Stegostoma tigrinum: one gene and its partners. Each later gene encodes a partner of the first gene's protein in a complex. Links are inferred from orthologs where the notes say so. Each region holds a gene or a part of one and is shown in the gene's direction. Other genes may lie near its edges. The genes, in order: CCR4-NOT transcription complex subunit 6, cnot10, cnot2 and cnot9.

The links.
Region 2: CCR4-NOT transcription complex subunit 6 (region 1) and cnot10 share a complex: the UniProt entries of both Homo sapiens proteins name them as parts of the CCR4-NOT complex. The link is inferred for Stegostoma tigrinum from reciprocal best matches to the Homo sapiens genes CNOT6 and CNOT10.
Region 3: CCR4-NOT transcription complex subunit 6 (region 1) and cnot2 share a complex: the UniProt entries of both Homo sapiens proteins name them as parts of the CCR4-NOT complex. The link is inferred for Stegostoma tigrinum from reciprocal best matches to the Homo sapiens genes CNOT6 and CNOT2.
Region 4: CCR4-NOT transcription complex subunit 6 (region 1) and cnot9 share a complex: the UniProt entries of both Homo sapiens proteins name them as parts of the CCR4-NOT complex. The link is inferred for Stegostoma tigrinum from reciprocal best matches to the Homo sapiens genes CNOT6 and CNOT9.

What each region holds. Positions count from the first base shown.
Region 1 is NC_081366.1:37,289,130-37,296,075, forward strand, and holds the start of CCR4-NOT transcription complex subunit 6, read left to right. Parts: upstream 1-3,938; 5' UTR 3,939-4,449; intron 4,450-4,459; exon of another isoform or gene 4,460-4,853; intron 4,854-6,946. UniProt on the Homo sapiens protein: Poly(A) nuclease with 3'-5' RNase activity.
Region 2 is NC_081358.1:37,183,694-37,191,296, reverse strand, and holds the start of cnot10 (CCR4-NOT transcription complex subunit 10), read left to right. Parts: upstream 1-4,590; 5' UTR 4,591-4,690; coding exon 4,691-4,730; intron 4,731-5,625; coding exon 5,626-5,723; intron 5,724-6,736; coding exon 6,737-6,898; intron 6,899-7,603. UniProt on the Homo sapiens protein: Component of the CCR4-NOT complex which is one of the major cellular mRNA deadenylases and is linked to various cellular processes including bulk mRNA degradation, miRNA-mediated repression, translational repression during translational initiation and general transcription regulation.
Region 3 is NC_081371.1:45,261,038-45,268,385, reverse strand, and holds the start of cnot2 (CCR4-NOT transcription complex subunit 2), read left to right. Parts: upstream 1-4,332; 5' UTR 4,333-4,386; intron 4,387-7,348. UniProt on the Homo sapiens protein: Component of the CCR4-NOT complex which is one of the major cellular mRNA deadenylases and is linked to various cellular processes including bulk mRNA degradation, miRNA-mediated repression, translational repression during translational initiation and general transcription regulation.
Region 4 is NC_081360.1:103,197,068-103,204,689, reverse strand, and holds the start of cnot9 (CCR4-NOT transcription complex subunit 9), read left to right. Parts: upstream 1-4,602; 5' UTR 4,603-4,840; coding exon 4,841-4,864; intron 4,865-7,622. UniProt on the Homo sapiens protein: Component of the CCR4-NOT complex which is one of the major cellular mRNA deadenylases and is linked to various cellular processes including bulk mRNA degradation, miRNA-mediated repression, translational repression during translational initiation and general transcription regulation.

The sequences.
Region 1 (6,946 bases):
CTGGGATATCGGAGCAGGGACTTTAGCAGTCAGTGTCTTCGTAGCTCATGAGGTTTGGAACATAGCAGCAGCTGGAAGCCTAGATGAGGGTTTTGACGGTTGGAAATTGAGCCTGAAGCAGGAAAATGAGTCCAATGCAGCAATAAGAGATGTCCCCTGGCATCTGCAGTAGTGGCGAGAGGAGGCAGCCCAAGATCTCCCGGAGAGATGGCCAAAGTGGAGGAGATTGAGCCCTTGTATGGAGTGCGAGCTCAGCATGGCTAAGCACTTAAGATTGTTGAACTTTTAGCTATTTCTTTACTTTTCTTTACTTTTTACTTTACAGTTTTCAGACCCGTAGCTCGGGATGGATCTGCTGGCATTGGGAGGAGGTCCACAAGATGATCCCAGGAATGAAAAGCTTGTCATGTGCAAAGTGGTTGAGGACTCTGAGGAATGAAGAAGGATCTCATTAAATACTGAGAAGCCTGGATAGAGTGGATGTGGAGATTATTCCACTAGTAGCAGGGAACAGGATCTGAGGGTCCAGCACCAGAGTGAAGGGACAACCCTTTAGAATAGATATGAGGAGAAGTTTCATCAGCCAGTGGGTGAATCTGTGGAACTCTTTACCACAGAAAGCGGTGGAGTTCAAATCATTGAATGGCTTACAGAGAGAGATGGATAGATTCTTGATGCACAAGGGGGTCAAGGATTAGGGGAGAAGGCAGGTGGATGGGCTTCAGAATCATTTCAACCATGATTGAACGGTGGAGCAAACTCAATGTTCGAATGGCCTAATTCTGCTCTTACATCTTATGGTCACTTCTGACCTAATGTTGATGGGACGGTCATTGATACAAGAAGCTGAAGGTGTTTGGGCCTAAAACAATAACAAATTATGGCTGTTGTAATGCAGTGGTAGTGTTTCTATCTCTGAGACAGAAGGCAAGTTCAAGTCGCACCTGCTCCAGAGATGTGTAGTAACAGCTCTGAACAGACTGGTTAGAACAGACTGATCTGTGATTTATTTGATTGACCTTTAACAATGACATCTTAGTTTGTGTTTGATATGTCTCCAACCAATGGAGTTCCGCCCATTGATTCCCATTGACATTAGTTTTCCTAAAGGCCCTTGATTCCAGGCATGGTCAAATGCTGTTTTGATACTAACAGCAAATACTTTCACCTTACACCTTCTTTTTATAAGTTCTGTACAAGATCAGACTAAAGCTGTATTGAGTTTGGGTTCTAGCAGGGACACTCAACCCCTGGCCTGAGTGGAAAACTTCCCCAAATAGCAGTGGAGGCTAGGTAATTGAATAGATTCAAATCTCAGTTACACAGTTTGTTTATTATCAAAGGAGGTAAAAGTTAAGGATGGTGGTGGGGATCAGGCTGAAAAATTGAGTTAAGACCAAATTAGATCAGCCATGATGACCCCAAACAGTGGATAGTTTTCTCCTGATTCCACTGATGCCAGTTTTGCTCAGTATGTCAGAAACTTTACTGCAGAATAATTTGCAAGTGAGCAAAACATTTTCCAGGACACAATGAAGATTGGCCACAGATTTCACAAACTTGTGGGCAACTTTGCTCAAGGCAGTCTAATGGAGTGGGAATTCAGTAATATTGTTGACCTGAAGTGTTAGTGGTTTCTCTCTCAATCGGTTTCACTTGACCAGTTGAGCATTTTCAGTAAATTCTCTATGATTTTAAAAGCGGTGAGAATAGGATTTACATTCTAAAAGGATGTCCCTGGGAAGTGAGAGATAATAGGAACTGCAGATGCTGGAGAATCCGAGATAACAAGGTGTAGAGCTGGATGAACACTGCAGGCCAAGCAGCATCATAGGATCAGGAAGGCTGACGTTTCAGGCCTAGACCCTTCATCAGAAATGGGGGAGGGGAAGAGGGTTCTGAAATAAATAGGGAGAGAGGGGGAGGCAGATATAAGATGGGTAGAGGAGAAGATAGATGAAATGGAGACGAGACAAGTCAAAGATGGAGCCAGTAAAAGTGAGTGTAAGTGGGGAGGTAAGGAGGAGATAGGTCAATCCAGGGAGGACGGACAGGTCAAGGGAGCAGGATGAAGTTAGTAGGTAGGAAATGGTGCTGTGGCTTGAGGTGGGAGGAGGGGATAAGTGAGAGGAAGAACAGTTCAGGGAGGCGGGGATGAGCTGGGCTGGTTTTGGGATGCAGTAGTGGGAGGGGAGATTTTGAAGCTTGTGAAATCCACATTGATACCATTGGGCTGCAGGGTTCCCAAACATCATCCTCCCTAACCCTATCGCATCCTCCGACACCTCTGCCATCTGCAATCTGACCCAGCCACCAAAGATATTTTCCCCTCCCCACCCTTGGCTGCTTTCCGGAGGGACCACTCTCTCTGTGACTCCCCTGTCTGCTCCACACTCCCCTCCAGCCCCACCACACCTGGCACTTTTCCCTGAAACTGCAGGAAGTGCTACACCTGCCCTACACCTCCCCCCTCACCCCCATCTAGGCCCCAAGAAGACTTTCCACATCAAGGAGATGCACATCTGCTAATGTGGTACACTGCATCCGCTGTACCCATTGTGGCCTCCTCTTTATGGGGAAACCAAGCTTGGGGACTGCTTTGCAGAACAACTACACTTGGTTCGCAATAAACAACTGCACCTCCCAGTTGTGAACCATTTCAACTCCCCCTCCTATTCCTCAGACAACATGTCCATCCTGGGCCTCTTGCAGTGCCACAACGATGCCACCCAATGGTTGCAGGAACAGCAACTCATATTCCACTTGGGAACCCTGAAGCCCAATGGTATCAATCTCCACTCCCCCTACCACATCCCAAAACCAGCCCAGCTTGTCCCCGCCTCCCTAACCTGTTCTTCCTCTCACCTATCTCCTCCTCCCACCTCAAGCCACACACCCATTTCCTACCTAGTAACCTCATCCCGCCCCCTTGACCTGTCCGTCCTCCCTGGACTGATCTATCTCCTCCCTAACTTCCCACTTACACCCACCTTTACTGGCTCCATCGCTGCCTCTTTGACCTGTCTGTCTCCTCTCCACCTATCTTGTCCTCTATCCATCTTCTGTCTGCCTAGCCCTCCCTATTTATCTCAGAACCCCTTCCCCTCCTCCATTTCTGAAGAAGGGTCTAGGCCCAAAACGTCAACCTTCCTGATCTGATGATGCTGCGTTCATCCAGCTCTACACCTTGTTGTCCCTGGGAAGTGAGAGTTGAGGTGCAACAGGAGTCCACAAATGACATAGATAGGATGGTGCTGGAGTAGTGATCACAGTCAATGGTGAAGTTAGAAAATGATAAACTTGATGAAAGAGGCAGCAGGATTTCTCGCACAGGTTGTAAGGAGGGCAAGGTGTTAATTGAGTGGGGCAGCATGTAACAAATAAGAAAAGCTGGGACTTATTAAGAATAAACAAAGCAGCGTGTAAAGTGAAAGATGGAAAGGGTAAACATGGGATTAGGAAGGTGGTGGATGCTTGGCTGAAGTTCAGGTATTAGTAAAATTGAAAACCTATTGAAGGGAAACGACTGAACCGTCAATATCATTCCACGTCCAGTTAGCTGGTGGGGATCTAGCGCAATGCCTGGAAGTGCGACCTAATTCGAGTTACAAGATGTTAAATTAGCTCTAACAAGTTACAAGCAATAAAAACGGATCAAATATTCCTTTAAAGTCGGCACTCATTGATAGTTTTAAGCGGAGTGAAAATTACATGTTAACCCTCATCCGTTGTTGAACTTCCATTGGGCTAGTAACTTGCCATGCGGCTCCTAATTGCTTCCTTTGACGAAACTCAAGAAACAAGGTAAACGACAAACCTACGCTCGATATAATTAAGCCAATCAAATTTACGGGTATTTCCCCACCCCGCCCAAGACGGCGCTTTCAAAACAAATAAGTTCCACACAAGGAGGGGGAGAAGCAGAGGTAGTTTGTAAAATTTAAGAACATGACCTGCCGAGTGCGTATAGCTATCCAGCGGACATGCACGCCTTAATATGGACAAATCGATTTTGCTCGGTCAAAAGAGATGATTAGGGCCTTCGGCCGTCCTCACCGTTGCAGTCTCTGTAGTTTGAACGGGAATCGGCGCGCAGCGGGACATTCCGGCCAGAAGGCTCGCGCTGTCCTCAACAGCCGCAACACGCACCCCTTCCGGCGCGAGCCGCTCGTTCCGACTCTGTTTGTTTTGCTTCACGCGAGGCCGAGTGGTACGGTCCACGCTGTAGCCAATCAGCGAGCCGCAAAGGAGGGGAAAACTCTCCGGGAAATAATGGAAAGCGGGCGCCATGATGATTGTTTGCTTTTAGAACGGGTTCGCTGGGTTTGTAGGCGAAGGGAAGAAAGGTCTAGAACTTTTGTTATGTGTTCGCAGGTATAAAAATGTTTTCTCACTTCAAACCTCACGGTTTAAGGTTTCACTTTACCTGAGCAAAGCAGGGAATTAAAGGTATTTATTTGTAACGTTCTGAACCTTGCGAGGTTTTTTAGTATTTAAATTTAGAACTTCCAGCTCAAGTTTTTTTAAAAAAAGACTTAGCTAATTTGTTTGACTTTGTCGGCTTCGTTCGTTTTATTTGAGTCACCTCTTTGCCCTAAAAGTCATTTGAGTCTCGGTTGAACGGAAAACTAAGTCGCTTCTTTTATGTAGTCAATGCGAGGCCTACACGTTAGTAGTAGGGGGAGCTTTTATTTGAACGACGGAGCGACCTAGCTTTGTGGCGGAAGTGTGCGTGTGTGGTTTGATTGACAACTGAACGCGCCACTCAAACACAAACCGTTCACCAATGTGGCGCACGGCGGGTTTTTATCGACCAATGGATGCAGTGTAGGGGCGGGACATCCGTGATGAAGGTAGGTTGATTTTTAGAACGTAGTTCTTTGCGCCCCAGTATGATAATGGTAAATACTAGTGATGTGTGATTTGGGGGCGCTTAATTAGTGTACAAATTACTACAGGGTACACGCACTCATTTTGTATACTATAACGTTTCACCAGTTCGGTTGGTAAGTGAATATAGGTACAGCATCTGGAAAACAAAGTATTGAACTACTACTTCCCCTAAATGTACTAGTTTTGAAATCACAATTCAGGTATATCCACTTCACCGCCACTTTTTTGCCGTTACCTATTTTCGGGTGGCCTGAACAATCGCTGAAGTTTTTGAAACTACGTGTTTAGATCATAGACATGAACTTGGAATAAAATTCGTTGCTAAAGTGGATGACGAGGACAAAACACTATTATGCTTTTAATTGCAATTCTAGCGATAACGTCGATTGCAAAAACCCCAGTAACTTTTCCACGTGATGCTGCTGCGATTGAATGTCCTTTTTAAGGCACCCTGTAGAGTTGGGGGTGGGGGTGCGGTGAGAAAGAAACAGGTGAAAACAACTTCGGCATTAAGGATATAGGAAGTATTTTCCCTGAAGAAATGTAAAATGTAGGGACTGCTCTTCCGTCACTACTTATTTTCTAATTCTTCTGTGTTGCCTTAGCATTTAGGTAAAATGCTTTCAAGTTATAACTGGAATCATAGGATTTAACAGCAAGTTGGCTGTACAGACATGGCGCTTGTGCCAGCTCTCATATTCCAAATCCCTCTTGTATATGCACCCTTAAACACTTTTTGCTATGTCTTTCTGACGGCCTTCATTGTGCCTAATGATTAGGAATTTCTTGCCATCGGTTTGTCTGATCTGACTGCTTGCGTCCTGTATTTTAAGAATCTTCATTCTTTTAGTTAATGTTCATCTACTTTTATTAAGACTGGTTTTACGTACCTAATTCCACAGTCCTGTTCAACTTTGAACAGAAAGCTGATGGTTGAAAATACAGTGCAGCAATTGCTTGGGGGGGAAAAAAATCCAACTGCATATGTATAGGAAATAAGTGTTAGGTTTGACTAAATCCTTTTTTGAATACAAATATTGTGCATTTTTCATGTGGGTATCACCAGTAAGGCCAACATTTGTCACCCATCTCTGCATGTTGGTGGCATGAAGGTGCTTTTGACCATCTGCTGAAATGACTATTGCCAGTACACACAACTTTTCGTAGGAAAGGAGTTCCAGGACTTAGTTCCATGCTTGTGAAGGAGCTGTGATTGTGGTCGTAAGTCAGATGTCTGTTTGACTTAGAGGAACTTCCAGCCGGCAGCATTCCCATGCACCCATTGCCCTTGCCCTTGCCCTTCCAGGTGTTAGGGGTAGTGGATTGGGAAGGTACTGTTGGAGGCTTGAGTTGCTGTTGCCTATTCTCTACAACATGATGCTGTCACTTTACATTTGTTGTGAAGAGGTCTTGCTTAAATGGACAATTGTTTTAAATATAACTTCTCAATGCTGTTGAGCATCATGAATGGTGCTATCCATTCAGGCAATCGAGAGTTCTGTCAACATCCTGTCTGGTGCCTTTACAGATGGTAGACAAACTTGAATTCCCAGCCTTGGATTTCCTCTTGTAGCCATAATTTTAAGATTGGTTGTCCACTTCAGTTTCTGGACACAGATCACCACTAGGAGGATGTTAGTGAGGATTCAGCAATAGTGATACCATTCATAGACAAGACATAGTCATTGTTTGATACTTGAGTAGAGTGAATGTTAGTTGCTGCTTAAACACAAACCTGAATGTTGTTCAGATTGTGCTACATATTTACACAGATGTATTCAGTGTTGAATGAGTTTGAAATGGTGAGTATTGGACTCACCAATCATGTCCAGTTCTAACCTTCTAATGGAAGCATCGAAGTTGCTGCAGTTAATTAGGCCTGGAGGAACTCTTACAGCAGCTTACTGGAACTGAGATGATTGACATCCAGCATGCCTTACCATCTTGCTTTTGTGCAAGATGTGACTCGAACTAGTAGACACTTTCCCATCAATTCAGTGATATTAACTTTTTACTTTTGGCCAGGGTGCCTCGAGTTTGTTTTTAAACTATC
Region 2 (7,603 bases), on another chromosome or scaffold:
TTCAAAGCAATGCAATTTATGAAGAAGCAAGGTGTATTATTCAAGCAGGATAGAGCAATCTTTTATTTCTAGGAAAGGGAATGAATTGATTTATAAGTGAGCTTTGTTATTCCAGTGGGATGCATACCTAAAGTGTTCTCTGGGCAGCGCAATTCATCCAATATAAATTTAAAAAAGCCATACCAACACAAGCACTGTAAATTCAGCAGAATTACAGGTCACAAAAGGTATACATGAACTGCAGACTTACAGGCCGAGCCAATGTCTGATGCTCAGAATTATTTGGAAATACAGGAACAGGAGTACACGCTGATGTTGGTGGTTGTAAATGCTCTTGAGGAAATTTTAAATCTAGGAAAGGAAAAACCATCCTCAGCACTAAGTCTTTCGTCCTCTATCTTCCTGAAGACACTGATCTACAAAGTTCGCCATGAGTGGCATCAGCATTCTGCTATTTAACACAAGGACCCCTTTTCAATACAACAGTAAGTAAATTCAATAGTTGATGAGAAAGGACATTAAGCTCAGAACCTCTTTTCCACTCAATCACTGGACTGAACTAAATTAGTTGGCAAGATTGCAATGGATTGTTTAGTCAGACTCAGGATGCTGAAGGAGCTGAGTCGGGAGGGGAGATAAAGGAGCAGTCTGGTAGTTTATCAGGAAGGTCGTCCCCTGAAGGCACTCAACTGACCGCTGCTTAAATAAACGGTACCTAGACACTGAGCAAAAGCAGGATGAGAATCACCTTTGTTAAGCCTCTGTCAAACCGACTGTTGCCAATTCTTGGCTAAGCTCATGCATGAATGCTGTTTGTACTGAGTAGCTAACAGCTGCTGCCTCACACTTTCTGGAAAGTATTAGCAGAAAACCAGGCATGGGTTTAAAGCTTTTCCTCCTCTCAAACATAAACCCACATAATTTAACGCATTCTCTGAAATTTAATGTGTCTTTTAAAAGTACAAGTCTACTTTACACAAGTAGATAAGAATTGGATGATGGTTTACATAGTGGGGACTCTGAGAGAATGTTGTTGTTATAACACTCACTTACCCCCACTCACTGACACCTCTAATCTAACTAATTGAGAGACTGAATATCTGAGCCTAAAAAGAAAGGGTTAGAGTGAGTGACATTGGAGAGAGGTCCAGAGGGTGTGACTGTTCGGGAGAAGAACTTTTTGGGGGGGGGAGAGAGAGAGACAGAGTGACTATTGGATAGAAACCCAGAAAGAAAGGGCGAGAGAGAATAATCAGTTGAGAGAAGTCCAGAGAGCAGAAACTAGTTGAGTGACCCAAAGAGAGAGAGAATGTAACATACAGACAGTGGTCTGGACAAAGTAAGCTCCCAGATAGTGAGAGACCTTCAGGGAAGGATCCGTGGGCAGAATCATAGAACTTTTCAGCACAGCAGAAGGCTTTTTGTGCACTGGCCCCTGAACAAGCTCGTCCCATTCTCCAGCCCTGTGTCCATAGCTCTCTGTATTCATCATGTTCAAATATATATTCAGCTCTCTTAAATATCCTATGGAATCCACCTCCATCCCAGGCACCGCATGCCAAATACCTCTGATGCTGCTTGGCCTGCTGTGTCCACCTAGCTCGACACCTTGTTATCTCACATGCCAAATCCAAACAAGTCTCTGAGTAAAGAAGTTTCTCCTCATCTTACGAGATAATAAAATGTGAGGCTGGATGAACACAGCAGGCCCAGCAGCATCTCAGGAGCACAAAAGCTGACGTTTCGGGCCTAGACCCTCCATCAGAGAGGGGAATGGGGTGAGGGTTCTGGAATAAAAAAAATTTCAGAACCCTCACCCCATCCCCCTCTCTGATGAAGGGTCTAGGCCCGAAACGTCAGCTTTTGTGCTCCTGAGATGCTGCTGGGCCTGCTGTGTTCATCCAGCCTCACATTTTATTATCTTGGATTCTCCAGCATCTGCAGTTCCCATTATCACTGATACAACTTCTCCTCATCTTACTCCTTGTCCTCTCGCTGACAATCTTGAAAATGTAACTCCTAGTTGCTGATACACTAAATGGTAGAAACAGAATACCTCCTTTACCCTGTCAAAATTGTTCTAAAATTTGAATACCTTGAAAGGGCAACACTTTGTCTTCTCTGCTGTAGGGAGAGTGAGTTCAATTTCTATGATCTTCTATCTAATTTCTGTCATTCCTAGTGTCATTTGCACTCTCTCCAGGGCTTTAATACCTTTCCTTAAATAAGGAGCCCGGAACTGAACACTATGTTCCAAATATGATCTGACAAATGATTTAATATGACCAATGACGTAGTATTACTTCCCTGCTTTTATGCTGTATACTGTATTTACACAGCTCACAGGTGCATAACAGCTGTCAACATCATTAAAGACACATTGCTCCCTGGTTATGACCTCCTAGAACCTCTTACATCAGGCAGAAGACACAGAAACCCAAACACATGCACAAGCTTCAGAAACAGCTTCTTTCCGGCCATTATCAGACTGATGAATGGACTCTGGACTCTAGCCTCAAATAACGCAACCTGCAATGAAACCTGTATGCCTCTAATTCTTTTTGATCTGCTTGCCTGGCCACTTTCAGAGAATTCTGCACTTGAATCCTGAGGTCCCTCTGCTCCTGTGCTCCCTTTAAAGTTGTATCATTCAGCCTGTAATGTCTTTCCAGGTTTCTTCTATCAAATGTGTTACTTCACATTTGTATGCATTGACATTCATCTGCCAGGCATTTGCCCAGGTTGCCAAATTGGCATTGTCTCCCTGATGTCACTCAACGTCATCTTTACAATTTGCAATTCTCTTAGCTTAGTATCCTCTGCAAATATAGAGACTTTGTCCTCAGCAACCATCTCAGCAGTCAATTATATCAATCAGAAAAGTCAAGAATCCCTACACTGATCCCTTGGAAACATCATTGACAACTTGTCTTTAGTCTGAGAAATACCCATCTATACTTACCCTCTGTTTTCTATCATTTAACATACAGAGTGGTCAAGAGAGAGAAAATAACTGATAGAAAGTCAATGATCCAGACAAAGTAAGCTATAAAGAGAATGGAGGAGCAAATTACTGCAGATGCTGAAATCTGTACTGAAAATAACAAATGTTGGAAATCACGGCGGGTCAGACAGCATCCATGGAGAGAGAACAAGCTATTGTTTTGAGTCTAGATGATTCTTCATCAGAGCCCTGATGAAGAGTCGTCTAGACTCCAAATGTTAGTTTGCTCTCTGTCCAAGGATGGTGTCTGGCCCACTGTGACCTCCAGCATTTGTTGTTTTCAGTAAGCCATACAGAGAGATTCACAGGAAAAGAATAAATCGTAATGAGAGACCAAGAATGACCCAGAGAATGACCGATACACTGACAGTCTATGTCACTGATCCTAACCCCTCCATGGTGTACCTCACTGTCCTCCCAACATGTAGCAGCTTTAATGTTTATATTTGCATTTATCTGCCCAATTGCGTGTAAGTACTCCTTTGTAACCTGTGGCACAGTGGCTCAGTGGTTAGCACTGCAGCCTCACAGCACCAGGAACCCTGGTTCAATTCCAGCCTTGGGTTACTATCTGTGTGGAGTTTGTACATTCTCTTTGTGTCTGCATGGGTTTTCTCCCACAGTCCAAAGATGTGCAGGCTAGGTGGATTGGCCATCCTAAATTACCCATAGTGTTTAGGGGGATGGATCTGGGTGGGATGCTCCAAAAGGTGGGGTGGAATTGTTAGGCCGAAGGGCCTGTTTCCACACTGTAGGGAATTTAATCTCTTAAAAAAAACCTGCATTGGAATTTGTGTTTTACATGTCTGCAGAGTTCAATTTATAATTGTTTCCTATATCCAGCTCATTCCTATGAAATGGAAATGGTATTGACCACCCTCTCTGCATTACTGTCAGGATAAGGATTTGAATACTTAGTACTGAGATGGAGGAAATCTTCATTCAAAGTTTGCAAATATTCCGTATTATCTATAAATTCATTCAGTACCTTGTTCAAACATATTCTCCACCCGTCATGGTCGTATTATTCGATGTTTCGTTTCTAAATTAATATTTCCTGTTTAATATTGTCCCACTTTCTACTGGAAATGTCCTCACCTTGCTTTTAACATAATTTATATGGACAATGAGGTATATAATTGAGATTTTATTTGTAATATTTTATAACTTCAATGCTCATTCCCTTTTCCACTACTAAACCCATTCATTAAACTGCTAGAGCAGATAAAGAGTATTATCTGTAATACTCTTTACGTTTTTTATCCAAGAATTGATGTGATGGATAGCTAATGGGTTCAATATTGTTAATGGACGGACTTGTTCTATTTTTTACATTTAAGCATATCAAATATCACCACAGGACCAGGTGCATTAATTGTATGTTCTATTTTTACAATGCATCCTATACGCGATGCAATATTTGATATTTCCTACAGTATAGCGTACAACATTATAATTCCATAGGATTTGGTATATTGCATATTATATTTCTTTAGGGTGTATTACACTGTAATGTAATGAATATACAAGATGCACCAAGGATAGCCTCTTACAGGAAGTGACGCTCATTAGATGCGCCTGGATGACTGATTTCCGGCGGGGCCTTGGGTACACGGTACTACACCTTACCCGGCTCTGGGGCTTGGGCTCCTTCCCCGTCCTGGGGAGGGGGGGCGGAAGAAGTGAATGGGAATCATGTCAGATCCTTCTGCGGCGAGTAATGGAGGTGAGGGGTCTAGGGTCGGTAAGGAAGTTGTGTGTGTGTGTTTGTGCGCGTGTGCGTGTGCGCACACGTACGGGGACGGACACTTGTGAATTGTGAAGGTGGTGAATCAATTCCAGTCTAGAATCTGAAATATATTTGTTTAGCCACAAAGCAGTTGGAGTCTCAACCTGTCTGTCTCGAAGGATGGTAGATCACACAATCTCACAAGACTTTAAAAGTATTTTCATGTTCATTTGCTGGAACCAAAGAGGATTATGGACTAAGTGCTGCAAGGTGGGTTAAGCTGGGTAACTGTATTTGTACTAAATGGCCTCATTCTGTGCCATAAGACAGATAGTGCTGTCCTGACTGCTCAGTGACAGAGTAAGCATGTTTAAAAAAAACTGTTGAGGTAGTTAAAAATTTTTAACTGAAGTGATGTTTTCTGTAAAATATGCTGAAATGCATAAATTACAACTATGTAATTTTCAATGCCAGCTAAAACTCTTCACTGAAATGCTCAAGCTGATTATACCCCTGTTGTTGTCACCATCCATTTCAATTTCTTTCAAAACATTTATTCATTACCCCTCTAAATGAGTTGTTTTGATTTTGGTTTGTAGTTACATTCTCTGGGTTTTGTAGAATGAGAGGTGATCTCATTGAAGCAGATAAAATTCTGACAGGGTATGGGCTGACAGACTGTTTCTCCCTGGCTAGGTGGTGAAAATGTAATCCCATGATAAGGAGTTTATGAATGAGATGAAAAATTCCTTCACTTTTGCAGAAGCTCAAGACTGATTTTAGCTAAGTTTTTATTGGTTCAGAAGAAACTGCAGATTTTTAGAATGTGAGGAAAGAAATTGTAATATGAGAAACAGATATGCTAAATAAATGTCTTTGTTTTGTTTTGTAGATCAGAATACTGATGTGAAAACAGAGAGTAATTCTCTTTCTTCAGGGGTTGCTGACCATGTCAAGGAGCTTGCAAACAATGCTTATCAGGCTTACACTGTAAGTATTACATTATAAAGAGTTACCATGAAATCAAGTTTCATGGGCCAAGACAATTGCAATATTTCTTTTCTATTAATTCCGTTGATTGAATTTCATGGCCAGTTAATTTTTGTTCCAGGCTTTTGAGTTGTTACGATTAGCATAGTCTTCCACGCTGTTCGTGTCAATAGAAAAAGACACTTCCATAAACAGCTGTGTGTCTTCTATAATCTGAAACTTAATGCCTGAAGTGTGATATGCAAGGGAATAACATGGTACTGTTATTCTCTACACCACTGAATAGGAAATGAATTGAGCTCCTTTTTCTGAAACTTAACACAGGTAGCAGCAGTTAGATTTATTTCCATGTAAATAACACCGAATTAAATGATCATAAGTAATGATATTTGCACATATTGTACTATATCATAAAGTTGTTCTTCAGGATTTTTTGACCAAATGATCATAATGTAACATTTTCAGCAGTTTCCTGTTGTTTGCTGTTATTGTTACAATGTGATAATGGGTCAAGAACAAGACAGTACACGCATGCGCATGTACACATGCTGTCATCCAATTTTGAGTCCTGGTAAGAAGAAAAAAAATTGGTGGTTCTTGTAGTGTCTGTAGTGTCCTCATCTGCTGAGTCAGGACACCTGGGTTCAAGTCTGCTCTAAGAGGTGTGTGATAACATCTGTGACACATTGAGTCAAAATTTCTAAAATGGTAATTGTTGAAGTTAGCTTGTTTTCTATTTCAATAGAACGGAGTATGGGAATTTACAGTTTGAGGTATGACAGAAATTTCCAGCTGTTATCAGGATGACAGGATTCAATGTGCTCGCTCCTTGTTTACCGAGTGCACCAGTCGGTCTATTTCATTTGTTTCCCCTCCCCTAACAGCATCTTACATACTGTGATTTATTAAAACTGCATCAGTGTTTATTTGGATGTATGAACTATGAAGTTCCAGAAAATTGTTTGCTGCAAACAGCGGTTGATTTTATATACATTTTCTTAATTTTGCCGTAGTCCGGACAGTTTGACGCTTGTCTGCAATATCTGGGTCATCTGCAAGAGCTGAACAAAGATGATTACAAAATATCTCTGAATAAAGCGGTGGCAGAGTTCTACAAAAATGGACAGACTTTGACAGATACCTTAAGGCAGACTCTCAACCTGTTGAAAAATCAGGTAAAACTGATAAACCGTAAATGTTTTAAGAGATACCAAGGTGTCGAATTGTTTGAACGCAGCAGGCCAAGCAGCATCAGAGGAGCAGGAAGGCTGACGTTTTGGGCCTAGACCCTTCTTCAGGTCTAGGCTCGAAACGTCAGCCATCCTGGTCTTCTGATGCTGCTAGGCCTGCTGTGTTCACGCAGCTCTGCACCTTGATATCTCAGATTCTCCGGCATCTGCAGTTCCTACTATCTCTGAAACAATGTTGTTTTAACTCTGTGTATTCTGTATGAGATGTTAGTAAAGAATGTCCTTTGAGACAGCCTCCCCAAAAAGGCCTTTTTGTTTTAAAACAACATCTCAATGCATGATTTAATGGGGTACTACAGTATAACAACTGCAGCCATAATTGCTGAATCACATCTGGTACCTTGCATCAATTATTACTTTTCATCCAGCATCAAATGGTTTTTGCCATTTCCTAATTCATACACTTAATAATTTTAAACTCTTCACCACGTGGTTAATTTTCCCCTGTCAGTTGATGTCATCTGTGTACTCGACCATTTAAAATTGCAAAATTGTAACAGAATTAGGCTAGACGTAGCAATGTATAGAGCTGGATGAACACATCAGGCCAAGCAGCAACAAAGGAGCAGGCTGCTTGACCTGCAGTGTTCATCCAGCTCTACACCTTGTCATCTCACATTCTGCAGTTCC
Region 3 (7,348 bases), on another chromosome or scaffold:
GAACAGCAAGGAACTGTGCCAGATAACCACTAGAGCTCAGAGAGAAACCCTCTACAAAAATCCCTCAGTGATACTTAGCCAATGTTTGGTTAAATTCATCCGTTTGATTCTCCTTTTCAAAGAAACTTATTTTACCTTCTGAATTGAATTCTGGGCTTTTCTAGACGAAAAGTTTGATCATTCTGTTCTGAAGTCAAAACTAAACTAAATTACCTTAACTTGCTTCCTCTGCCTGTCATAAACCTAAGAGCGTAAATACTTTATCAATTAATACCACGGGTGTTTGTCAGGCATTTGCTGAAGTTGTAGACCTTCTTCAAAATGATGCAGTTAATCACTGTTAAAAGCCGCCTATTTCACCTTTTAAGAAAAACAATCCTTAACAGAACTGACCCACAGCCATCTGCCTAAATTTTCAAATCCAAACTTCAAAAATGTAATATATAATACAGCTTTCCTCATACATTCCGCAAAAGTGAAAATGCAAAGGTATCCTTAAGAGGCAATAGCATCTTTTTCAAACATAACGTTGCTCTTAACACCATTTCTGTGGTACATCATCTGTAACAATTTATTTATAATGAATACGCACCAATATTCCTAATAACCATATTCTACGCAAGTTCATTTTGATCATGACATTGTTTCATTCATATTTGCTCTAGAAAAGCACCTGCTATAATATTGAATGATTTCTAAAATTATACGGTTGTAGTATTAAACTGTAATGAAACAGTCTTAAATTCTCATCTGAAAACTCTCCAAACATCTGAAGACAGGCCATTGTATAAATAATAGTCTCTTCAAAGTTATTAAACAAGTGAATTTCGAACTTTTGCAGAGTCAAAAGACATTTCTCTATTATCAATTATTTCTGCTGATAATTACTCAATTTCTCAAAATAACTGACTGGTTATTTCACCTCCATTTTGTCCTCCTTTTGGTAAAATAGCACTTACCAGCAATAAAATTGGCATTAACAGCCAGAGCTTGTCATTGTGGTGCCCCCTGTCTTCCTGCTACCCTATCTATGCTCCTCATAATTTTAAACATCTCAACATGTCCACTCCCCCTACACCACCTCTCTAAGTAAAACAACCCTAGCCTATCCAATCTCCCTTCATTAAAAAACCCAGTCCAGGCAACATCTTGGTAAATCTCCTGTGCATCTGCTCCAGCGCAATCATATCCATCCTCTAATGTGGATATCAGACCTGCACACAATACTCTAGCTGTGGCCTATTCAACATTTTGTACAGTCCCAGAATCACCTCCCAGGTCCTTAAATCTATGCATTGGCTAATAAAGGCAAGTATCCCAAATGATTTCTTAACTTCTTTATCTCCCTGTTCCACTACGCTGAGAGGCTGCAGGCTCTGCACACTAAAGTCCCACTGATTGTCAGTGCTTCTGTCCCAATGATCATCAAGTACATCACCACACACTTATCTGGATTGAATTCACTTTCCACTGATCACCCCCTCCGACCAGCCTATCCACATCCTCCTGTAATCTATGGCTATCCTCCTCACTATTTACTAACCCAACAATTTTTGTATTAGCCAAGAAAGTACTGATCAACTCTGGTACCTTCAGGTCTAAACCATTTATAGGTACCATAAATAGCAAGGGCTCAAACACTGATCCCTACAGGACCCAACTGGACACAGACTCCCAGTCACAAAAATAGCTCTTAACCATCACTATCTGCTTCCTGTCACTCAGCCAATTCTGTACCCAATTTGCCAAATTTCCTTGGATCCCACAGGCTCTCACATTTGCTATTAGTCTCCCACACTGGACATTATCAAAAGCTTTGCTGTTAAGCAGACTACATCAAATGCACGGACCTCACCTACACATCTGGAGACCACTTTGAAATATTCAATTAGTCAGACCTGACCACCCCTTAATAAAACCTTGCTGACTATTTGATTAATCCCTGCTTTAAAAAAAAGAAAACAAAAGGAAGATTTAGAACAGAATATTACAGCACTGATTTTGCACTGGCTGTTTCAAATGGCTTCAGCGATAGAAGGAACTGCAGATGCTGGAGAATCTGAGATAACAAGGTGGAGAGCTGGATGAACATGGCAGGCTAAGCAGCATCAGAGAAGCAGGAAGGGTGACGTTTTGGGCCTAGACCCTTCTTCAGGAATGATTTCTGAAGAAGGGTTTAGGCCCAAAACGTCAGCCTTCCTACTCCTCTGATGCTGCTTGGCCCACTGTGTTCATCCAGCTCTACACCATGTTGTTTCAAATGGCTAACTAATTTCATTCCACACTCCTTCTGATGCTGAAAATTAATCCTCTTCCAAGCGTAAATCCAATTGCCATTTAAAGTTCCTGTGGAGTCTGCTTTCAGCATTCATGGTTTTGCAGACTATTAGGGAATGCACGTGAAAAAAAAAGGCCATTGAGATACTTGTGGACAACCAACACCAAATTAGGTTGCTAGACTTACTTTATTGGATCTCTCATAATTCTGAATATCATATCAGGTTTCCTTTAATTTTGCCTGGTCTAAGGATAAAAATGTCAGTTTCTGCAATTGCTCCAAATAACTGTAGTCCCTCAACTCTGTTACCATCTTCATCAATCTCCTTGCAGCCCCTCCGACGACTGGAAATCTTTCTAAAATGTAACGTCCAGAACAACGCACAAAAGCTGCAGCTTAGGCTAAAGATTTGTAAATGTTACATGATTTCCTTGATGTTGCATGTTTATGTATTTAATGGCACTAATTAAAATGTCAGGCTGGTGTTGCAACATGAGCATCTCTTATGGAACAGTGATAATGCCCCTACTTCTGAGCCAGGAGGTCCAGGTTCAAGTCCCATCTGCTCCAGATGTGTGTGATATCACCTCTGAACAGGTTTGTTAGAAAATACCTACAATCTAAGTCATTGTACTATCATGTAAAAGAAACCAGATTGGGAAGTTAAAATCTTATTATTTTTGTAATCAGATTTTGGGTTAGCAGGCTATTCTAATTTTGTTCTTGGCCTTTTAACACTTACTTGAAACTCAAGTTTCAATTACAGTTTTGCAGTCATTGTCTATATCTATAATTCGATGGATATTTGCAAGTACCTAAATTTACTATTATTTGGATCTGATAATAAATAGTACTAGAGGCAGAAGCTGCTCATCTGTGCATCAATTATTGATATTTCACTCAAGCTGGCTGGTCTTTGCAGCATACTGCATGTATGGAATTGTACAAATTGTACAAAATGATAGATTTAATTTTGGTTAATATTGAAGCTTATTCAAATTAATCATTTATAATTGGCTACTTGCTAAATACACTTTATTGTGACAGTATCATACAGTATCTCCACGTTAAAGTGACTGTTAGCTTTACATCCGTCATTGTCAATATCATTTTCAAAATTGATACAAAAACTTCCAAAATAGTAGGCAACTGTTATCATATGAAATAAAAATAGATGTTAAGATATTCTACAGATATTTTAAGTGGCAAACAATGACAGGCAATACAATATAGGTTTATTTAAGACCCTGGTTATGTTAAATATTATACTTACAATTCATGAAATCATCACAATTCCTCCATTACTGCTTTGTTTCTAGATGCAGCTCCCTGTGACATGATATTAATTAAATCAAGAATCAAAATAAGATTGCAGTTGGACAATAGATAAATGATCTCACCAATATAAATAAATTTCAAAGATTAACACCAATGCAGTTACACAAGCCTGACAGATGCAATTACTAAAAGATGCAAAAGAATTTCTATGCTGAGAAATTTGGAGGAAACCCCTTCTTAAAATTTAAAATTTCTACATTTTATACAAAGTATAAAAAGAGTTTCACCAAAAGGCAAATTTACTGCATAAAGACGACAGGGAGAAACCGATTGCTTCCCCCCTCACTCGTATTTTGTCTCGGTTAAAAGTTCTACGCCATTCACATATTATTTGGAACTGGCGAAAATAGTGCAAGACAGAAATAGGGTGAAATATACACATGGTTGATTTATCAATCCCAGCTACATTCATCATCAGCTCCAGGCCACACACAACTCTCTCCGTGTGAGTGTCTCTCTCAGCACGGTGTCGGGATTTTGAGGCTTTTTCTGGGGTCAAAACAAAATCTCAAGAGGAGCGAAAGATGCGTTAAAATAAAATAAACAACGAAGGCTTCAAACTAAACTGGAAAGAAAGCGAAAGCAGAACCCGATAATAAGAAATAGAAACGCTGCTTCCTTTACTCGCCTCCACCTGTTTATTTTCTGTTGTCATCCTTTCGCCTGCTTCCAGGGGAGGGGGGTAAAGGTCATAGGGTAAAGGGCAGCACCCAGCATCCCCGGTGCAATACACAGCCATCTTGGAGTTATTTTAGGAGATAATTCATGCGGTAAGTTTTAACGTTTTCTTTCTTTATTTCTCGCTCGGAGCCGCTAGAGCTCCGTCCCTTTGGCGTCGGCGACAACTTTTTCGATGAAAATGTTGCCGAGCGCGGTGGCGGGGAGTGCGGGCTGATCTAATGGGGCTTGGGCGGCTGCTGTGCCTTTTTTTTGTCTGGGCTCTGACTGAGTCTCCCTCTCCACTGCACCCCCCCCCCCTCTCTCTCTCTCTGGTTTAATCGAGTATCATTAAAAAAAAGCGGACAGGCCAACCCAAGCAGCGAGGAGCCGGGGAGCAGAGTAAGATCCCGACCCTTGCACGAACACATACACCTCAGGCACTGGGCCTTGCATCCGACTTTCGCCCTCCTCTTCACACTTTACATCATCATCCTCATCATCTTCATCGGGATACATTTTACACTACGAGACCCGAGCTGTGTGCCTGGCGTTTCCGCAGTTATAACTACAAATCCCCCATTGCTTCTTTGCTCAATTTCAGAAATTTGGTATAGTCGCGATATATCCGATCCTGGTTCAGTGCATTGCATTTTTTTAAGCCGTCAGCAAATGTTTACTTGTTTTCCTTTTGGATGCAACTTGTCTATTTTAAGTTGTTGGTGGAAGTTGTATTTATATTTTGTTTCAAACATAGTTTTGTTCCATGCTGACACCATTGTTTGCAGAAAGTTCCTTGAGTCCTCACAATATGAGACATGGCGATCATTTCAGAATTGTGTTGCACAGCTAAGGGAAAATGATTTTTTTTGTATAAAAATGTAGCTGGTGATTTGGATCTTGTAAGTGATGATAGCCACTGAAACAACAGCACGTCACAAACATCTCGCTTTTAAACAATTTATGATGGAAAGGGCTGAACATCTGGCTTTGTTGTTCAATTTTGTTATTCCAAATAATTTTTTGCTGTTATTAGTTTTTCCTGTTTGTAATGACTTTGGAAATATTAAATTGGACAAATATTGAATCAGACCAGATTATCACACTGGGAATCTAGCTTTCTAAATCTACGAGATTTTAAGTTCTCCAATTTTTTTTAAAGTTTATACAGTTACTTACCTTATTTTTCTAGATTATCAGAATTTTTCGAGGGATATGGATTGACACTTACAAATATAAATTGGATGTCAAACTATGTTTTTAACTACTTTTAGCATAGCGTAAATCCTTGGTTTAAAGAAGGAAGGGATAGATTTGTCTTTTTTAAATGATGAACAACTTGAAATAAACTTCAAATAAGATCTGAGATAGCAAGGTGTAGAGCTGGATGAACACAGCAGGCCAAGCAGCATCAGAGGAGCAGGAAAGCCGACGTTTTGGGTCGAGACCCATCTTCAGAAATAAGATCTTACAGCTTTGCAGATATGTTAACAGTTACAAATTTTAAATAAGCATTAATGGTATCAAGGCAGTGGTTATAGACTTGGTGGTGTATGTCTATGTGATTTAAAATTGTAGTATTTGTGCATCAGCAGCACTGATGCTAACTTCTGTTGCTGATTTTGCCAAAACAAATAGAACTTCTATAATTTCCATATTCACCTTTATGCTCAAGTATTTTGATAGCGCTGGACAATGTGGTATTTTCTTAATCAGAAAGAACATTTTCAAAGTTGTATGGATGCATATACTATCTGTAATCCAAAAAATTGTAATATTGATACAGTAAGTAGACATTTCCATATTAGAGCTGCAGTACTGTGGGACTGTTGGGTGGATGTTTTGCCATCTATTTTCTATTTCACAGTTTTGAGACTACCAGTTGTGTGAGCATGCTTGCCTACTTGTCCTTACCTTTATATAGCTTTTACTTGTTTATTGGGGGCACTGCTACAACAATAATTGCATTTTTATGGCTGAAGCGTTTCAGTTAAGTGTTTTAATGTTCTTAGTCTTGTTTTTCTCCTCTCCAGAAAATGTGAGGTTGCCCAAAACTAGTGAACTGTTGCTAATGGCTCATTGAATCAGCTGAAGAAATGCCACCCTGTTGACCACTGGTTGTCAGTAGGATTTCAGCAAAGCTGTACAGATTATGGATTTGTGAGCGTGTTGAATTTTGCGCATGTAATTTGGAAAACACCCAGCGCAACTGTTAGGTTTTGTCCTTTCAAGTGTGGGTTACATCTGGAGAGAACAAATTGAGATTGTCCAATTGGATCTGCACCACTGTTAGAGTTTAGAAAGGTCGATTACTGGTGGCGGTGATGCTGAGACAGATTTTTAGTGAGTGATTAAGGATATTGCATTTTGTTTTAAAAGGGTATTATCACAAGTATTTTTCCTGAATTATATTGCTGATGCATTAGATAATGAAGCCCTAAAGGTTATTGAAGCTTTCAGCAAAATGTTAGACAAGTTGACAGAGTATTCTGTGATCCTGAATCAGGGAGAAAACAAATAATTTGATCTTTAACAAATGACCAGAGGAAAAATTCTTTGATTCTGCAAGATTCCTAACCACTTCATTGGAATGATTGAGACATGTGATGTGAAGAGGCTACATTGAGAACCACTTACTCCTGTTTCATTGAATAGAATTGAAGAATGGAATACATTCTCAATGACTTTGGTGTTATGTTAAAGGATATACTATTGGCATAGAGCAGAGTTTGTTAACAGACTAATGCATAGTATGCTTGATTTTTAAAAATCAAAAATTTTGATTGCTTCCATAGTAATAATTCATTTGAGAATAACTGGTAAGATGTTTTATTTTTTCACTGTGACACTTTGTTTTAAAGCGCAGAATGGCATCTTCATCCTTATTCTTGCTCAAATATTGTAGACCAACCCAAAGCCCTACCAGTTTTTCATGACTTAAGATGTACTTTCGTGGCAAGTGATTGACTTGGAATCACTAGAATCTGAATTAACCAACTTCACTTCTCCTTGGAAAGGTTTGAATAAGCATTCATATAATGTTGCAGATGTAGTTGACATATCATTATACAAGTT
Region 4 (7,622 bases), on another chromosome or scaffold:
TTGAGTTATCGAGAGAGACTGAATAGGCTGGGACTATTTTCCCTGGACCATCGAAGACCGAGAGGAGGAGTGTGGATAGTGTAAATGGACAAGGCCTTTTCCCCTGGGTGGGGGAATTGAAAACTAGAGGGAATAGGTTTAAGGTGAGAACGGAAAGATTTGAAAAGGACCTAAGGGGCAACATTTTCACACAGAGGGTGGTACATATGCAGAATGAGCTGCCAGAGGAAGGAGTGGAGGCTGGTACAATTGCAACATCTAAAATGCATCTGAAGAGGTATATGAATAGGAAGAGTTTAGAGGGATATGGGCCAAACAAGACTAGATTAATTTAGGATATCTGGTCGATGTGGACAAGTTTGACTAAATAGTCTGTTTCTGGGCTGTATATCTGTCCCTTCAATCTGTGGAAACTAGAGTCAAAGGTTGGTTTTATCGAATGGGGTAATAACAGCAGATTTAAAGCAGCGACGGCAAAACAACTTAAGAGACTGGAGTCACTTGTGCAGAGAAACGGATGCTGAAAGATTCTAGATGGGATTCATCCCGGATTCATGCGAGAAGGGCTAAAATTAAGAGGCTCTGCCCATGATCTTCCGATCCTTCGTTAGATATTGGTGTGTTAACGACCCAAACATTACATTCCTATTTAAAGAAGTCAAAACCTTCAGTAGAAATCAGTCAGCCTACTTTTGTTTGTGGGAATCATAATCCAGAACAGAACAAACACATGTCCACCCCTCTGTACAAATTATCATTTAGAAACACCAGTTTTCTAGACTTTTTTGAGTAGACTGGAGTATTATTTCAGTGCAATGTTTAGGAAGCAGAAACATTGAAGAAACAGTACTTACATAATTTAACTTTGCTTTAAAACTGCTTAAAGCTATAACACTGTTTTATGTTTCAGATAAGTCTTTATTTCCGAATGATTTCCTGTTCACACAGTTCTGTTTAGATATTCTGACATCATGTCACAATTATGAAAATTCTGGAATCCAGAAATGACTTGGTCTAATTCTTGACCAGCTCAACTGAATCTGCATTTGGACCGCTGTTCTCTCTGATATATTTTAATGGCTTAAATTCTTCTTCTAAAAAGTACTCCAACTTTGGTCTACAATTCACAAATAATTTGCAAACATCGTAACTAATGAGAAGTGTAACCAGAGACTTCAGGAGGACACTGATGAGACACTGAAATACACGAAAAATTAAGTGTGTTGGTAGGAAGAAAGATTGACTAAATGACAAATTTGAAGGGGAGGTCACACAGGAACAGACAGACATGTGCACAAATGTTCAGAGGCATCAGCCAAGTTCATGATTTTGCTTTAAAATTAACCAAACCCTGAAGCTTGCATTCAAAGTACGGCCATGAAAACTTTTACATCTGACCAATCAGCTATACAGTTCATCAGTCAAACATCTGATCACAAAACCATCATGAGCACTCCTGGTGCATAACTTGGAAGCTATAAGCTTCAAACTCTGAGTAAGACTGAACAAATGGCTCCCCCTTATCAACTCTGGAAGTTACTGTATGCAACATAAACCACTAAGTTTTCGAAACCCTCAACAATACAGACAGTAGGAAATAGGAAAACAGCAAAGTTTTGGAACACTCAATTAATTACAAAGGTGTACATTACAACAGCAGCTGTTCCAAAGACACTCTCATTAGGAGCTAAAAGCATATCCTGAGATTGTCAAAGAATATACAGAAATGAAAGTTTAAAAAAAAATCAGGCTGTTTGCCCTGAATGGTGTCAGGTTTCTTAAATATTATCAACCAGGCAAGTGGCGAGTATTCCATCACATTTTTAACTCGCGCCTTTTAGATGGTGGACAAGGTGTTGGGAGGACAAACGGTAAACATAGTAACTGCACAGACACACTGGAGGTCAATTTGCATTCTGGTCCCTTAGAAAGGGCATCATACCCAGTCCTGTGATCTCTACACATTTCCAAAACTGGTTTCAATGTTGGGGTACGAGGAGTCTTTTGGGAATGGAATTTGACATTTGTGGAAACGGTGTTAAGGATGGGAGGGTTAGGTATGGTGGAACAAGATAGGCTTTAGGCAGGACAGAATTAGAGAATGGTTACTATACTGGAAACAGCAGTGGCTCTTTTAAAAAAAAAACAGAAACAGAGACTGCAGTTTGGCAAATTCTGTGAGAAGCAGCAGAGTTAACACTTCAACTCCAGTGATTCTTCAACAGTAAAAGAATCATTCACTGAGTTCCACCTGGGAGCCTTTCCGCAATCTTGCAAATTTCTCTCTTCAGGTAATGATCCTGGTCTTTGCTTCAAAAGTCATGAATCCTTCTCTCTCTCACACACACACACACACACACACACACACACACACACACACACACACACACACACACACACACACACACACCACAACAGTTCTTCCTGTTCCACAACTTCGGTCTTGTGCTCTCTCTCTGTCCCCCAACCCGCCGCCTCCTACAGATACAGTTAAGCTCCATCTCTCTGGCCCCATCCTTGAAATGCAGTCCGCCTCTCTCAGTGCCTACCCCCTTGCCCAGACACAGGTATTTCTGCCCGCTCACTCTGGCTTCATCCTTGAGTGCAGTGCCCAAGACTCTCTTCACCGCCACCACGATACAGTCCTTTCCCCGACTCTCCCCTCAGGATGCAGTAGCACGCCCCACTCCTTTCCTGGGGGTGCAGTACTCCCTACTCTCAGCTCCCCACAGGTGCAGTGCCCTCTGCCTCTCCCCCCCATAGCCCCAGGCACATTACTTGGTCTGTCTCCCCACCGTGGGGTACAGTGTTCACCCTCTCTCCTCCCCCCCGACAACCCCCAAAGGGTGAGGTACTCTCTGTCTCTCCCGCAGGGGACTGCACCCTCTGTCTCCACACCCACTTCCCCCTAGGGGTCTGGTCCCCTCTGCCTGTCCCTCCCTACCGCCGGGGCGGGGCGGGGCGGGGCGGGGGGAGAGGTCTGGTCCCCTCTGCCTGTCCCTCCCTACCCCCGGGGCGGGGGGAGGTCTGGTCCCCTCTGCCTGTCCCTCCCTACCCCCGGGGCGGGGGGAGGTCTGGTCCCCTCTGCCTGTCCCTCCCTACCCCCGGGGCGGGGGGAGGTCTGGTCCCCTCTGCCTGTCCCTCCCTACCCCCGGGGCGGGGGGAGGTCTGGTCCCCTCTGCCTGTCCCTCCCTACCCCCGGGGCGGGGGGGGGGTCGGGGGGGGGAAGGTCTGGTCCCCTCTGCCTGTCCCTCCCTACCCCCGGGGCGGGGAGAGGTCTGGTCCCCTCTGCCTGTCCCTCCCTACCCCCGGGGCGGGGGGAGGTCTGGTCCCCTCTGCCTGTCCCTCCCTACCCCCGGGGCGGGGAGAGGTCTGGTCCCCTCTGCCTGTCCCTCCCTACCCCCGGGGCGGGGGGGGGGGGGAGAAGGTCTGGTCCCCTCTGCCTGTCCCTCCCTACCCCCGGGGCGGGGGGAGGTCTGGTCCCCTCTGCCTGTCCCTCCCTACCCCCGGGGCGGGGAGAGGTCTGGTCCCCTCTGCCTGTCCCTCCCTACCCCCGGGGCGGGGAGAGGTCTGGTCCCCTCTGCCTGTCCCTCCCTACCCCCGGGGCGGGGGGAGGTCTGGTCCCCTCTGCCTGTCCCTCCCTACCCCCGGGGCGGGGAGAGGTCTGGTCCCCTCTGCCTGTCCCTCCCTACCCCCGGGGCGGGGGGGGGGGGGGAAGGTCTGGTCCCCTCTGCCTGTCCCTCCCTACCCCCGGGGCGGGGGGAGGTCTGGTCCCCTCTGCCTGTCCCTCCCTACCCCCGGGGCGGGGGGAGGTCTGGTCCCCTCTGCCTGTCCCTCCCTACCCCCGGGGCGGGGGGGGGGAGAAGGTCTGGTCCCCTCTGCCTGTCCCTCCCTACCCCCGGGGCGGGGGGAGGTCTGGTCCCCTCTGCCTGTCCCTCCCTACCCCCGGGGCGGGGGAAGGTCTGGTCCCCTCTGCCTGTCCCTCCCTACCCCCGGGGCGGGGGGGAAGGTCTGGTCCCCTCTGCCTGTCCCTCCCTACCCCACGCCCCGGGGGGGGGGGGGGGGTGCGGTACACAGACACAGACACACTCCCGCGGGTGGGGTTACGGTACCTCTCGGGCCGTTCCCATAGAGACGGCGCCTCGCGCTCCGCTCCCGCCGCCGCCGCCGCCGCCGCGAGATGGCGGGACTGCCGCTCCCACAATGCCCCGGGGCGTGGAGTGCTCTCAGGCACAGAGCGCTCCTCTTCTCCCCGATCCTGTCCGGTACGGTCCGTCCGCCGAACACCCGCCCCGCTCTAAAACAACCGACTCTCCCCAAACCCCATCACCGCCTCGAATAAAAACATTAAAATGTTCTTCACCCCAACCGCCGCTCAAAATGGCGCGAAGGCAGCCTCCCAGCAAGCAGCGCGCAGCCTGAGGAAACACACCCGCAAAGTCTATCATTTTCTTTTTAAAAAAAATACCCTAATCGTCTGAAGCGCGCTTCGGGCACAATTCGTACGAAATAAACAAGGATAATTATCAACTTGTGTTTCAATGCCGCGGTCACGGGGTGAAAGGGCAAAGGTGAAGAGCGGAAATGCGTTCAAACCTATAATTCCGCGGAATGGTGCGAGGTGAAACTGGAGATTATTCTACACAAGAGAGTCGGATTGCGAAGGGTTTGAATGATTCTCCTGATGTAAATTCCTTTTCAAAATAAAAGACGTGTTTTGGGTAGAAGCGGTGACCAAGGGTCAGAGGTCAGGGTTCACCGGACACAGGAGCCGGGAGCCTCGGGCTCGTTGATGTGAAGTTTTTACCCGAAGAAGGGGCGGCGGCGGCGGCGGGGGAAGATGCACAGCCTGGGGGCAGGGGCGGTAAGTCCCGGTGGGGATGGGCGAGGTGGGGGCCTCTTCCCCGCGCCCCCCCCCCGGTTTAGGCCAGGGATGGGGGAGACAGCGACGCCCTCGCTGCGGGAGGCCCGGGCAGGGACTCGCCGAGTTTACCCGCACTCGGGCGGCGGGGGAGGCTGCAGGGAGCCTGCCCGGGGACCGCCTGAGGCCTCGGTGGGGCTTGAGGCCGAGCCTGTCGGATTTTGTGGTCACCAGGGAGGCGGGCGGGGAAGTGGAGCTATGATCAGACAACCCTAGAATTTCTACAGTGTGCAAGCAGGCCACTCTGCCCATCGAGGAGAGACTAGTCCTCACGTTCTCATTCTTCTCTCCCCCCCCCCCCCGGCATTCTTCTCTCCCCCCCCCCCCCCGGCATTCTTCTCTCCCCCCCCCCCCCCCCGGCATTCTTCTCTCCCCCCCCCCCCCCCCGGCATTCTTCTCTCCCCCCCCCCCCCCCGGCATTCTTCTCTCCCCCCCCCCCCGGCATTCTTCTCCCCCCCCCCCCCCGGCATTCTTCTCTCTCCCCCCCCCCCGGCATTCTTCTCTCCCCCCCCCCCCGGCATTCTTCTCTCCCCCCCCCCCCCCGGCATTCTTCTCTCTCCCCCCCCCCCCCCCCGGCATTCTTCTCTCTCCCCCCCCCCCGGCATTCTTCTCTCCCCCCCCCCCCCCGGCATTCTTCTCTCCCCCCCCCCCCCGGCATTCTTCTCTCCCCCCCCCCCCCCCGGCATTCTTCTCTCCCCCCCCCCCCCCCCCCGGCATTCTTCTCCCCCCCCCCCCGGCATTCTTCTCTCCCCCCCCCCCCCGGCATTCTTCTCTCTCCCCCCCCCCCCCCCCGGCATTCTTCTCTCTCCCCCCCCCCCCCCCCGGCATTCTTCTCTCTCTCCCCCCCCCCCCCCGGCATTTCTCTCCCCCCCCCCCCCCCGGCATTCTTCTCTCCTCCCCCCCCCCCCCCGGCATTCTTCTCTCCTCCCCCCCCCCCCCGGCATTCTTCTCCCCCCCCCGGCATTCTTCTCCCCCCCCCTCCCCCCCCCCGGCATTCTTCTCCCCCCCCTCCCCCCCCCCCGGCATTCTTCTCCCCCCCCCTCCACCCCCCCCCCCCGGCATTCTTCTCTTTCCCCCCCCCCCCCCCGGCATTCTTCTCTTTCCCCCCCCCCCCCCCGGCATTCTTCTCTTCTCCCCCCCCCCCCGGCATTCTTCTCTTTCCCCCCCCCCCGGCATTCTCCTCCCCCCCCCCCCCCCCGGCATTCTCCTCTTCCACCCATTCTCCCCCCACCCCCCGGCATTCTCCTCTTCCACCCACCCCCCCCCGGCATTCTCCTCTTCCACCCATTTCCCCGCCCGGCATTCTCCTCTTCCACCCATTTCCCCCCCCCCCCACCCACCCACCCCCCCCCCCCCCGGCATTCTCCTCCCCCACCCCCCCCCCCCCCGGCATTCTCCTCCCCCACCCCCCCCCCCCCGGCATTCTCCTCTTCCACCCATTCACCCCCCCCCGGCATTCTCCTCTTCCACCCATTTCCCCCCCCACCCACCCCCCCCGGCATTCTCCTCTTCCACCCATTCCCCTCCCGGCATTCTCCTCCCCCACCCCCCCCCCCCCCCCCGGCATTCTCCTCCCCCACCCACCCCCCCCCCCCCGGCATTCTCCTCCCCCACCCACCCCCCCCCCCCCGGCATTCTCCTCTCCCCCCCCCCCCCCCCCCGGCATTCTCCTCCCCCACCCCCCCCCCGGCATTCTCCTCTTCCACCCATTTCCCCCCCCACCCACCCCACCCCCCCCCCCGGCATTCTCCTCTTCCACCCATTCCCCCCCCCCCCCGGCATTCTCCTCTTCCACCCATTCCCCCCCCACCCCCCCCCCGGCATTTTCCCCTCCCCCCGGCATTCTCCTCTTCCACCCATTTCCCCCCCCCCCCCCCCGGCATTCTCCTCTTCCACCCATTCCCCCCCCCCGGCATTCTCCTCTTCCACCCATTTACCCCCCCACCCACCCACCCCCCCCGGCATTCTCCTCTTCCACCCATTTTCCCCACCCACCCACCCCCCCCCCCCCGGCATTCTCCTCTTCCACCCAATTCCCCCCCCCCCCCCGGCATTCTCCTCTTCTCTCCTCCCCCCACTACCCCCGCATTCTCACTCCCCTCCCCCCCCCCCGCCCACTACCCCCGCATTCTCTTCTCTTCCCCCCCCCCCCGACTAGTGGAACCACCTAGGCCTGCACACCTCTGGACAGTGCGTGCAATTTAGCACAGCCAGTCCACCCTAATCTGCACATCTTTGGACTGAGAGGAAACTGCAGTACCCAGAGGAAACCCAATGCAGACATGGGGGAGATAGTAACAACTGCTGATACTGGAGAATGAGAGAACACGGTGGGGAGCTGGAGGAACACAACAGGCCAGGCAGCATTAGCGGAGCAGGAAAGCGGGTGTTTCGGGTTGGGATTTTCTGAAGAAGAGTCCCCGTGCCATGTCACCTCAGGCTCTTGCATCAGTAATTCTTAGTATCTCTGAGTGAGTTATAACCCCACTATGAAGCCATTTCTGAAGAAGGGTCCTGACCTGAAACGTCAGCTTTCCTGCTCCTCTGATGCTGCCTGGCCTGCTGTGTTCCTCCAACTCTACACTTATTACAGACACAAGAAGAATGTGCAAACTCTACTCAGTTGCCTGAATCAAACCCATGTGTCTGTGCACTGTGAGGCAGCAGTGCTAAACACTGAGCCACCCCAATCTTGTGGAAT